2 linked regions of the Macaca fascicularis genome follow. The protein of the gene in region 2 purifies or fractionates together with the protein of the main gene of each other region. This does not show direct contact. Links are inferred from orthologs where the notes say so. Each region holds a gene or a part of one and is shown on either strand. Other genes may lie near its edges.

What was found.
Region 1: the proteins of USP18 (region 2) and STAT2 purify together in Homo sapiens (affinity purification with western blotting; 6 studies listed by BioGRID and IntAct, with this or other methods). This does not show direct contact. The link is inferred for Macaca fascicularis from reciprocal best matches to the Homo sapiens genes USP18 and STAT2.

The regions. Positions count from the first base shown.
Region 1 is NC_088385.1:63,163,504-63,168,038, forward strand, and holds the start of STAT2 (signal transducer and activator of transcription 2), read right to left. Parts: upstream 2,897-4,535; 5' UTR 2,678-2,896; intron 1-2,677. Other genes in the region: APOF (apolipoprotein F), read right to left, coding at 3,844-4,535. UniProt on the Homo sapiens protein: Signal transducer and activator of transcription that mediates signaling by type I interferons (IFN-alpha and IFN-beta).
Region 2 is NC_088384.1:34,043,717-34,048,002, reverse strand, and holds the start of USP18 (ubl carboxyl-terminal hydrolase 18), read left to right. Parts: upstream 1-1,280; 5' UTR 1,281-1,376; intron 1,377-4,286. UniProt on the Homo sapiens protein: Interferon-induced ISG15-specific protease that plays a crucial role for maintaining a proper balance of ISG15-conjugated proteins in cells. Regulates protein ISGylation by efficiently cleaving ISG15 conjugates linked via isopeptide bonds.

The sequences.
Region 1 (4,535 bases), on a different chromosome or scaffold from region 2:
ACAGGGTTTCACCGTGTTAGCCAGGATGGTCTTGATCTCCAGACCTCGTGATCTGCCCACCTCAGCCTTCCAAAGTGCTGGGATTACAGGTGTGAGCCACCGCACCCAGCCGGCCCCAACCTGTATTTTAATAGCTTCAGTAAGTGGGCCTTTGTGCTTTAATGGGAATTTTCTTTTCTTTTTTTTTTTTTAAGACAGGGTCTCACTTGGTCACCCAGGCTGGAGTGCAGTGGCATGATCGTGGCTCAGCTTTGATCTCTCAGGTTCAAGCGATTCTCTGCCTCAGCCCCTCAAGGAGCTGGGACTACAGGAGTGTGCTATCACGCCAGCTAATTTTTTGTAGAGATAGGATTTTGCCATGTTGCCCAGGCAGATCTCAAACTCCTGAGCTCAAGTGATCTGCCTGCTTCAGCCTTCCAAAATGCTGGGATTACAGGCATGAGCCACCATAACCAGCCTAATGGTAATTTTCAAACACACACTAAAGCAGAGTGACTAGTACAAGGATCACCATCCAGCTTTAACAAACTACTGTTTCCACTATCTTATTTCATCTATCTCTCTAATTCATTTATTTTGCATTTATGTGTTTGTTGTTTATATTTGTTTATGCTAAACAAATATAAGCATTTAAAGATCAGTGTTGATGTTAAGTATTTATTACAGCATGATCCCTGCTGACCCTGAAGCTTTTTTTTTTTTTTGAGATGGAGTCTTGCTCTGTCACCCAGGCTGGAGTGCAGTGACATGATCTCGGCTCACTGCAAACTCTGCCTCCCGAGTTGAAGGGATTCTCCTGGCTCAGCCTCCTGACTAGCTGGGACTACAGTCGCCCACCACCATGCCCTGCTAATTTTTGTATTTTTAGTAGAGATGGGGTTTCACCATGTCATCCAGGCTGGTCTGGAACTTCTGACCTCAGGTGATCTGCCCACCTTGGCCTCCCAAAGTGCGGGGATTAGAGGTGTGAGCCACCATGCCCGGCCACCTGAAGCTTTTTTAGGAGCTAAATCTTTTTGGAGGTTAGGTAAGTACACCCTATAAACTGCCCTCCATATAGGAAGGAGGAGCTCCATGCTAGAAGACATCTAAATGCTATGCAACGGGTTGCTCAGTCCCTAAGAATATGACACGTTTATGACCTGTGAATCTTGAATATAAGTTATCAACTTTGTGAGATCCTGAAACTTCACTTAAATTTTTTTTGTTTTTTTTGTTTTGGCAGGGCACAGTGGCTCATGCCTGTAATTCCAGCACTTTGGAAGAGGCGGGAGGATCACTTGAGGTCAGGAGTTCAAGACCAGCCTGGCCAATGTGAAATCCTATCTCTACTAAAAATACAAAAAAATTAGCCAGGCATGTTGGTGGGCACCTGTAATCCCAGCTACTCAAAAGGCTGAGGCAGGAGAATGGCCTGTACCCAGGAGGCAGGGGTTACAGTAAGTGGAGATCACATCCAGCCTGGGAGGCAGAGTGCAGTCTCTGAATCAAAACAACAACAATGAATTGGCTTTTGCCTGTCACCAAGCAGGCTGTGCCTTGCATCCTTCTCCCCACTGTTCCCTGCTCGCTGCCATCTGGTGTCTATTTAGGAAACTGAAACTTAAGCTTGTTGCAGCCTGAGCCTAACAAAACAGAATTCATGCACATTAGTGGTCTAAAAAGGTCACATGATTTTATTACAAAGTAAAAAGAAATGCTTGGGGTGGTATAGTCTTCTACTAACATGAATAACATCAGCTGCCCTTCTACCTCCAGCAGGAACAAGGGAAGGGAGGGATTGGGCAGGGGCTATTTTCATTTTAACCCTTTTAGTAGTGCTTGATTTTTAAAACTATGTGTCTGTATTGCTTTTATGATACAAAAAAATATAAGTTAAAAAAATGATTAGGTGGCCAGGCATGGTGGCTCATGCCTGTAATCCCAGCACTTTGTGAGGCCCACAAGACGGGAGGATGGCTTGAGCTCAGTCAGGAGTTTGAAACCGAGCCTGGGCAACATACTGAGATTCCATCTTTAAAATAATAATAATAATAATAATAATAATAATAATGAGGTCCCAATTCTTGAGGATTTAAGTGTCTGATATTAAAGGAGCAAGTCAGCAAAGATTCAAATATGAAAACAAAACAAAAAACCTGGTCTCCCCGAATGGATTGCAAACACTGAGGTTAAGAGCTAAAACAATTTTTTCTCATTATCTCTCACTCTTAAGCACATATTTTGCACTCAAGAAGCTTTTCTGAAATGAACTGAATTTTGTGTGTGACCTTAGGCAATGTTTCATCTTTCAGTAGCTTATACTTTTAAACAAAACAAATAAAGACGATAGATTTATCTATCTTTGTTTTTAGATTTATCTATCTTTGAACATCGTTTTTAGGTGAAGATAAAAAATAATGCAGAGCAGAGTAACGTCAGATACCGAACCAACAATGCCAGATTCCGGGTCTCGGAAGCTGCAGGGCAGTTTTCGGGGAGGGGCATTGGGGTTGGGGAGATAGGCTGGACAGGAGAAGATCGAGAACCGAGCAGGCGACAGACAGCTCCTCTTTCAACCTGGGGACAGAAGCTGCCCCCTCCAGGGCGTAACTCCTGGGGCCAGTCGCCCTTCCCTGGGAGGAACTCTCACTCTCACCCCCACCCCTACCTCAGCACACCCTCTCAGGGCCCGTACCTGATTAGGGTTGCAGTCTCCGCGCCCTCCACTGGCTCTGGTCGCGACTTCCCGTCCGTAGAAGGAGTTCGGGTACTAGAGCCTCAGGCCCCGCCTACAACTTCGGCCTACACCCTCGGACCCGCCCCCTCGTAGTTGGCAGCGGAAGTCCGGAGCGGCCCCATTCCCAGTCGCCACCCCGACACTGGCTGCCACTCAGTCAAGCCCTTCCCAGACTGCGAACTCACTGGCGCCGCCGCAACTACACCCCCCCGCGGGGCGGGACAAGCTGAGCCGAAACCACACCTGCAGCTCCAGCGATTGGTGGAGAAGTTCAAGTAGGCACTTTCTACGAGGGGAGGAGTCTAATTAGTGGACTGGCCCAAGACTGAAACAGCTGATTTTCGAGAACCCGCTCGTGAGCCACGGAACCGAAACTAGCTTGAGGAGCCTGTAGACGCCAAGGGCTCCATGGGAAGGGGTGGGACCGGAATTTCGACGCCTTGGGATAGGAAGAGGAGGGCTGAGGTAATGAAAACAGTATTTTTTTTTTTTTTTTTTTTGAGACGTGGTCTCGCTCTTATCACCCAGGCTGGAGTGCAGTGGCGCGACCTCGGCTCACTGCAGCCTCGACCACCCGGGCTCAGGTTATTCTCCCGCCTCAGCCTCCCAGGTAGCTGGGACTACAAGCGTGCATAACTCCGCCAGGATAATTTTTTGTGTTTATTGTAGAGACGGAGTTTCGCCATGTTGCCCAGGCTGGTCTTGAACTCCTGACCTCAGGTGATCCTCCTGCCTCGGCCTCCCACAGTGCTGGGATTACAGGCATGAGCCACTGCACCTGGCTAATAGCTATTTATTGAGAGTACTGTGATAAGCACTTTAGATTAATTGTGTCATTTAAAATTTACAGGGCAACTCATTGAAGTTAAAATCATTCTCTCCTTTAGAAATTTAAAAACTGATCTTAGTTCAAGAAAGAAGTTACCAGTCAGTGATCACGGAGGCTCTAACAAGTGGAGCCTAGATTCAAAACCAAACCCTCTGACTTCAACCCCCAAACATTTACGTTCCTACGTTTTACTGTACAGCCTTACTCCTGAATAAATCGGAGTTTAAAATTTTGAAGACATGTATACAGCTTGTCAGGATATTAGATTTATTAGTTCTGTGGTTACTACCTTCTTTTATATCCCAAGACTCCCAGCCCCAGGATCTAAGTCATAGCTCTTGATTATGGCCCACCCCCAGTAGGGAGCTGAACTTACTACTTCTGATATGAAAGAAGCCAGGGTAGTTGTTTCTTCCAAGTCACTCACATCTGAGATGGCCCTTAAACCCTCCTTGGTGGTCTCTGGCTGAGAGATGTTTGCGTCTTTCCGATCTTGGTAATACTGGATCAACTGCTGAACCCCAGACCTTAATGCAGGTTTAAGTGCAGCACTGATCGCTAGACCCATAGGTCCCCCTGACATCCCGGCCATGGTCATCAGAAGGTCATATCCCAGATCTATGGCCCCATCTCGGCCTCGTTCCCTGGCCTTGCCCAGGCAGTTTTGAGTAGCATAATACAAAGCTGTGCCCAGGTTGTAGAAGGTTCCCACTCCTGGCAGCAGCTGGATGACATTGTGCATACCTTGCTCCTTCTCATTCTCACAGTCCTCTGTGGGGAGGGAGCGCCGGACCCTTCCTGTGCTTTGCTGCTCCCTGGCTAACAGCTGCAGAGCAGAGGCCAGGGCTTCCACTGACACGTTCCTCTCTGTGCTTCTTCCTGTCTGGAGCCCTTGAAGATGCTGGATGAGGACCTGTGTAGCATTCACACCACCCTGGCGGTAGAGCTGTAGCTGTAGAGCCCAAACATCAGCCTGGCAACCAGCTT
Region 2 (4,286 bases):
TCTATTTGTCCATTGCTGCGTGGACGGCTTTCAGAAAGAATGATCGCTTTGAGGGCAATTGTACCCTGCTTTCCTGTGCAAATTCCAGTGGCTGGAGTTTGAGGCCCCTAGCAGATAACCCTTCTGCCCCTGCCCTCATGAGTCTACATACAAGAAATACATCTCTAAAGAGGTAATAAGCCTTTCCCGTGTGCATGTTATAGATCTTTTAACCTTATATATATACAGATGGTCCATCACTTACCGTGGCTTCACTTACGATGTTTTGACTTCATGATGGGTTCACTGGGGCCCGACCCCGACTTTTTTTCTTTTCTTTTTCTTTTCTTTTTCTTTTAAGAGGGAGTCTTGCTCTTGTCGATTTCTGCTTACTGCAACCTCTACCTCCTGGGTTTGTTATTTTTCTGCCTCAGCCTCCTGAGTAGCTGGGATTACAGGCGCGGGCCACCACGCCCGGCTAATTTTTGTACTTTTAGTAGAGAGGGGGTTTCATCATGTTGGTCAGGCTGGTCTCGTACTCCTGACCTCAGGTGATCTGCCTGCTGTGAGCCACCGTGCCCGGCCTGACCCCTTCTTAAGTAGAGAAATATCTGTATCTGCATGCCCACAGGGAAGCTCCTAATTACACCACGTGCCACATCCAAGCCATAGACCCGTGATGTGAGGACACTGGATCCAAGAAATACAATAGCATTAAGAAAGAAAAAATGCTGCCATGGATATTACCAAACGCCAAATGACTCTAAGACGTATGCTAATTGCAGGGACCTTAAAATCGCAAATAAAAAGGCGCCTGTAGGTCGGGCGGTGGCTCACACCTGTAATCCCAGAACTTTAGGAGGCTGAGGCGGGCGGATCACCAGAGATCAGGAGTTCGAGACCAGACAGGCCAACATGGCGGAACACCATCGCTACTAAAATATAAAAATTAGCCAGGCGTGATGGCAGGCACCTGTAATCCCAGCTACTCCGGAGGCTGAGGCTGGAGAATCGCTTGAACCCAGGAGGCGGAGCTTGCAGTGAACCGAGATAGCGCCACGGCACTCCAGCCTGGACCACAGAATGAGACTCCGTCTCAGGGAAAAAAAAAAAAAAAAAAAAAAAGCGAGCGCGTGATGTCTGGAGCAGGTGCGCGGTTGCGACGGCCGCTGCGGGAGGCTTGGGCCGGCCCGGTTTCCCGCCACGCCGGCGCCCCGCTCGTGGCGCGGAGGCCGCTCTAAGTTTCGCTTTCCATTCAATGGGAAACGAAAGCTGGGCGGGGCGCAGCCGAGCGCGCGGCCAGACCAAGGCGCGGAACTTCGGCCGCAGCTGCGTCCCCGGCTCAGTCACGCCGTGGAACTCAGCAGCGGAGGCTGGACGCTTGCGTGGCGCTTGAGGCAAGTTTGGGGCTCATTTTGGAAGTTTTCTTTCTAGCGCAGACATCCAACTCTGCTCTTACGCCAGTCAGATAATTAAGGAAATAAGTAATGATTGTGCTCTGCAAATTATGATAGCGATCTGTATTTGCTACGTGCATATATTGGGCCAATGGATTTTTTTTTCTAAGCTAATATAGTTATTTGGACTTTTGGCATGACTTTGTGTTTAATTTAAAAAAAAAAAGAAATTACAGAAGTGTTGTAAGCTTGTAAAAAAAATTCAAACAATGCAGACAAATGTGTCTCTCAATCTTCCACTCAGTATCATTTTTGTTTGTACCTTATCAGAAATGTTTCTATGTACAAGTCTTTAAAATCGTTTCGAACTTGCTTTGTCCACTGAGTATATTATGGACATCTTTTCATGGCAGGACATATAGATGTGTTAATGGCATTAAAAATAAAACAAAAAACTGACGTGGCCTGGCACGGTGGCTCACGCCTGTAATCCCAGCGCTTTGGGAGATCGAGGCGGGCAGATCAACTGAGGTCAGGAGTTCCAGACCGACGTGGAGAAACCCCGTCTCTACTAAAAATACAAAATTAGCCGGGAGTGGTGGCACGTGCCTGTAATCCCAGCCACTCGGGAGGCTGAGGCAAGAGAATCGCTTGAACCCCGGAAGAGGAGGCTGCGGTGAGCCAAGATCGCACCATTGCACTCCAGCCTGGGCGACAGAGCGAAACTCTGTCTCAAACGAACAAAAAAACCTGATACATAGTATGGGAAGTACATTGTTTAAACAATGCATGGAGATTTAGGTTGTTTCCAGTTTTTACTGGCATAGATACAGCAATGAATATCATTTTATGTATACATTCATACAAATATATTGGTGGAAAATTCCTAGAAGTGGAATGGCTGGGTCAGTGGGCATTCATATTGAGAAATTGGAAGGATGTTGTCAAAGTCTGCAAATCAGAATATTTTAGTCTTAACCTCTCTTCTTTCCCCCTTTTCCTTGGAAGAAAGCTAAATTTAGACTTTTTTTTTTTTTTTTTTTTGAGACGGAGTCTCGCTGTGTGGCCCAGGCTGGAGCGCAGTGGCGTGATCTAGGCTCACTGCAAGCTCCACCTTCCGGGTTCCCGCCATTCTCCTGCCTCAGCCTCCCAAGTAGCTGGGACTAGAGGCGCCCGCCACCACGCCCAGTTAATTTTTTTTTGTATTTTTAGTAGAGGCGGGGTTTCACCATGTTAGCCAGGATGGTCTTGATCTCCTGACTTCGTGATCCGCCCGCCTTGGCCTCTCAAAGTGCTGAGATTACAGGCTTGAGCCACTGCGCCCGGCCAAATTTAGACTTTAAATACAAAACTCTATTCTGAGACCCCTGAAAATCTGGGTTCAAAGTGTTTGAAAATTAAAGCAGAGGCTTTAATTTGTACTTATTTATGTATAATTTGTGTAAGTTATATTTGTATAAGTTGTTCCAGAAAAAAGGCAAATATTGAAAAGCATTTCATCTGACGTTTCTTTCTGGTATTGTACAGAGTTGGAGAGTGAATGCAGGTTATCTGATGTGTTCACAGGAACAAAACGGGAGGGAGAGTAACAGGTGCACGACTGCATCTTGATTTATCAAATAACCTGGTTTTGGACTGTTAAAAAATGTGTTGCACAGTTTTGACACTTTTACACAGTGATGGGCTTACAAAGGGGAAAATGCTTAACATAAACATAGTTTCCAAGAAGGTAAGTCCTGGTTCTTCCACATGAGCTGTTTTTTATTTTTATTTTTTTGAGAGACAGTAGTCCCAAAATTTCCCTATTATGTGGCTTTTCATCCAAAGTGTTGTAATCCGTGTGTTCTAACCCGCATATTACGATTACTCAAGAAATGCAAAATAGGCCGGGCGTGGTGGCTCACGCCTGTAATCCCAGCACTTTGGGAGGCCAAGGCGGGCGGAACACGAGGTCAGGAGATCAAGACCGCCTTGGCTAACACGGTGCAGACCCTGTCTACTAAAAATAAAAAATATTAGCCGAGCATGGGGCGGGCGCCTGTAGTCCCAGCTACTCAGGAGACTGAGTCAGGAGAATGACTTGAACCGGGGAGGCGGAGCTTTGCCGTGAGCCGAGATCGCGCCACTGCACTCCAGCCTGGGTGACAGAGCGAGACTCCGTCTCAAAAAAAAAAAAAAAAAAAAAAAAAAAAAAAAAAAAAAAAGAAATGCAAAATGATGTGAACACGTCATTGAGACTGCGGTCTACAATTGTGGTTGCCATGATGGGTTGGGTCGGAAGACGCTGAGGCTGCTGGAATCATGTTCCTGGAAGGTTAATTTTGTTCCTTTTAGGGCATCTAAATGTTGGAGCTGGCTTTCCTGGCAGAGTCCAGTTGTGAGTGGAGTGTTGGGTGGAGGCCCCGCCCTCCCCAGGTTTTCTGCAGCGTGTTCCTGGCTCTTCTGGGGCTTCTCTGAGGACCCTGATTGGTCCTGGGGCTACTTTAGTGGTGGGCCTGGGCCAGTTCCTTGGGTTGCTCTCCTCTCCTCGAAGCCTAAGGATAACATTTCGGGAAGATCATGAGAGAAGGTGAACCAGAAAAAAAAAAATTCAGGTAGGGCAGGAGCTAAGTTAGTTTAGTATTTGGGTTTTTTGTTTTGTTTTGTTTTGTTTTGAGACAGAGTCTTGCTCTTGTTGCCCAGGCTGGAGTGTAATAGCACTGTCTCGGCTCACTGCAACCCCTGCCTCCCGGGTTCAAGCGATTCTCCTGCCTCAGCCTCCCAAGTAGTTGGGATTACAGGCGCCCTCCACCGTGCCCAGCTAATTTTTTGTATTTTTAGTAGAGATGAGTTTTCGCCATGTTGGCCAGACTGGTCTCGAACTCCTGACCTTGTGATCCGCCCGCTTTGGCCTCCCAAAGTACTAGGATT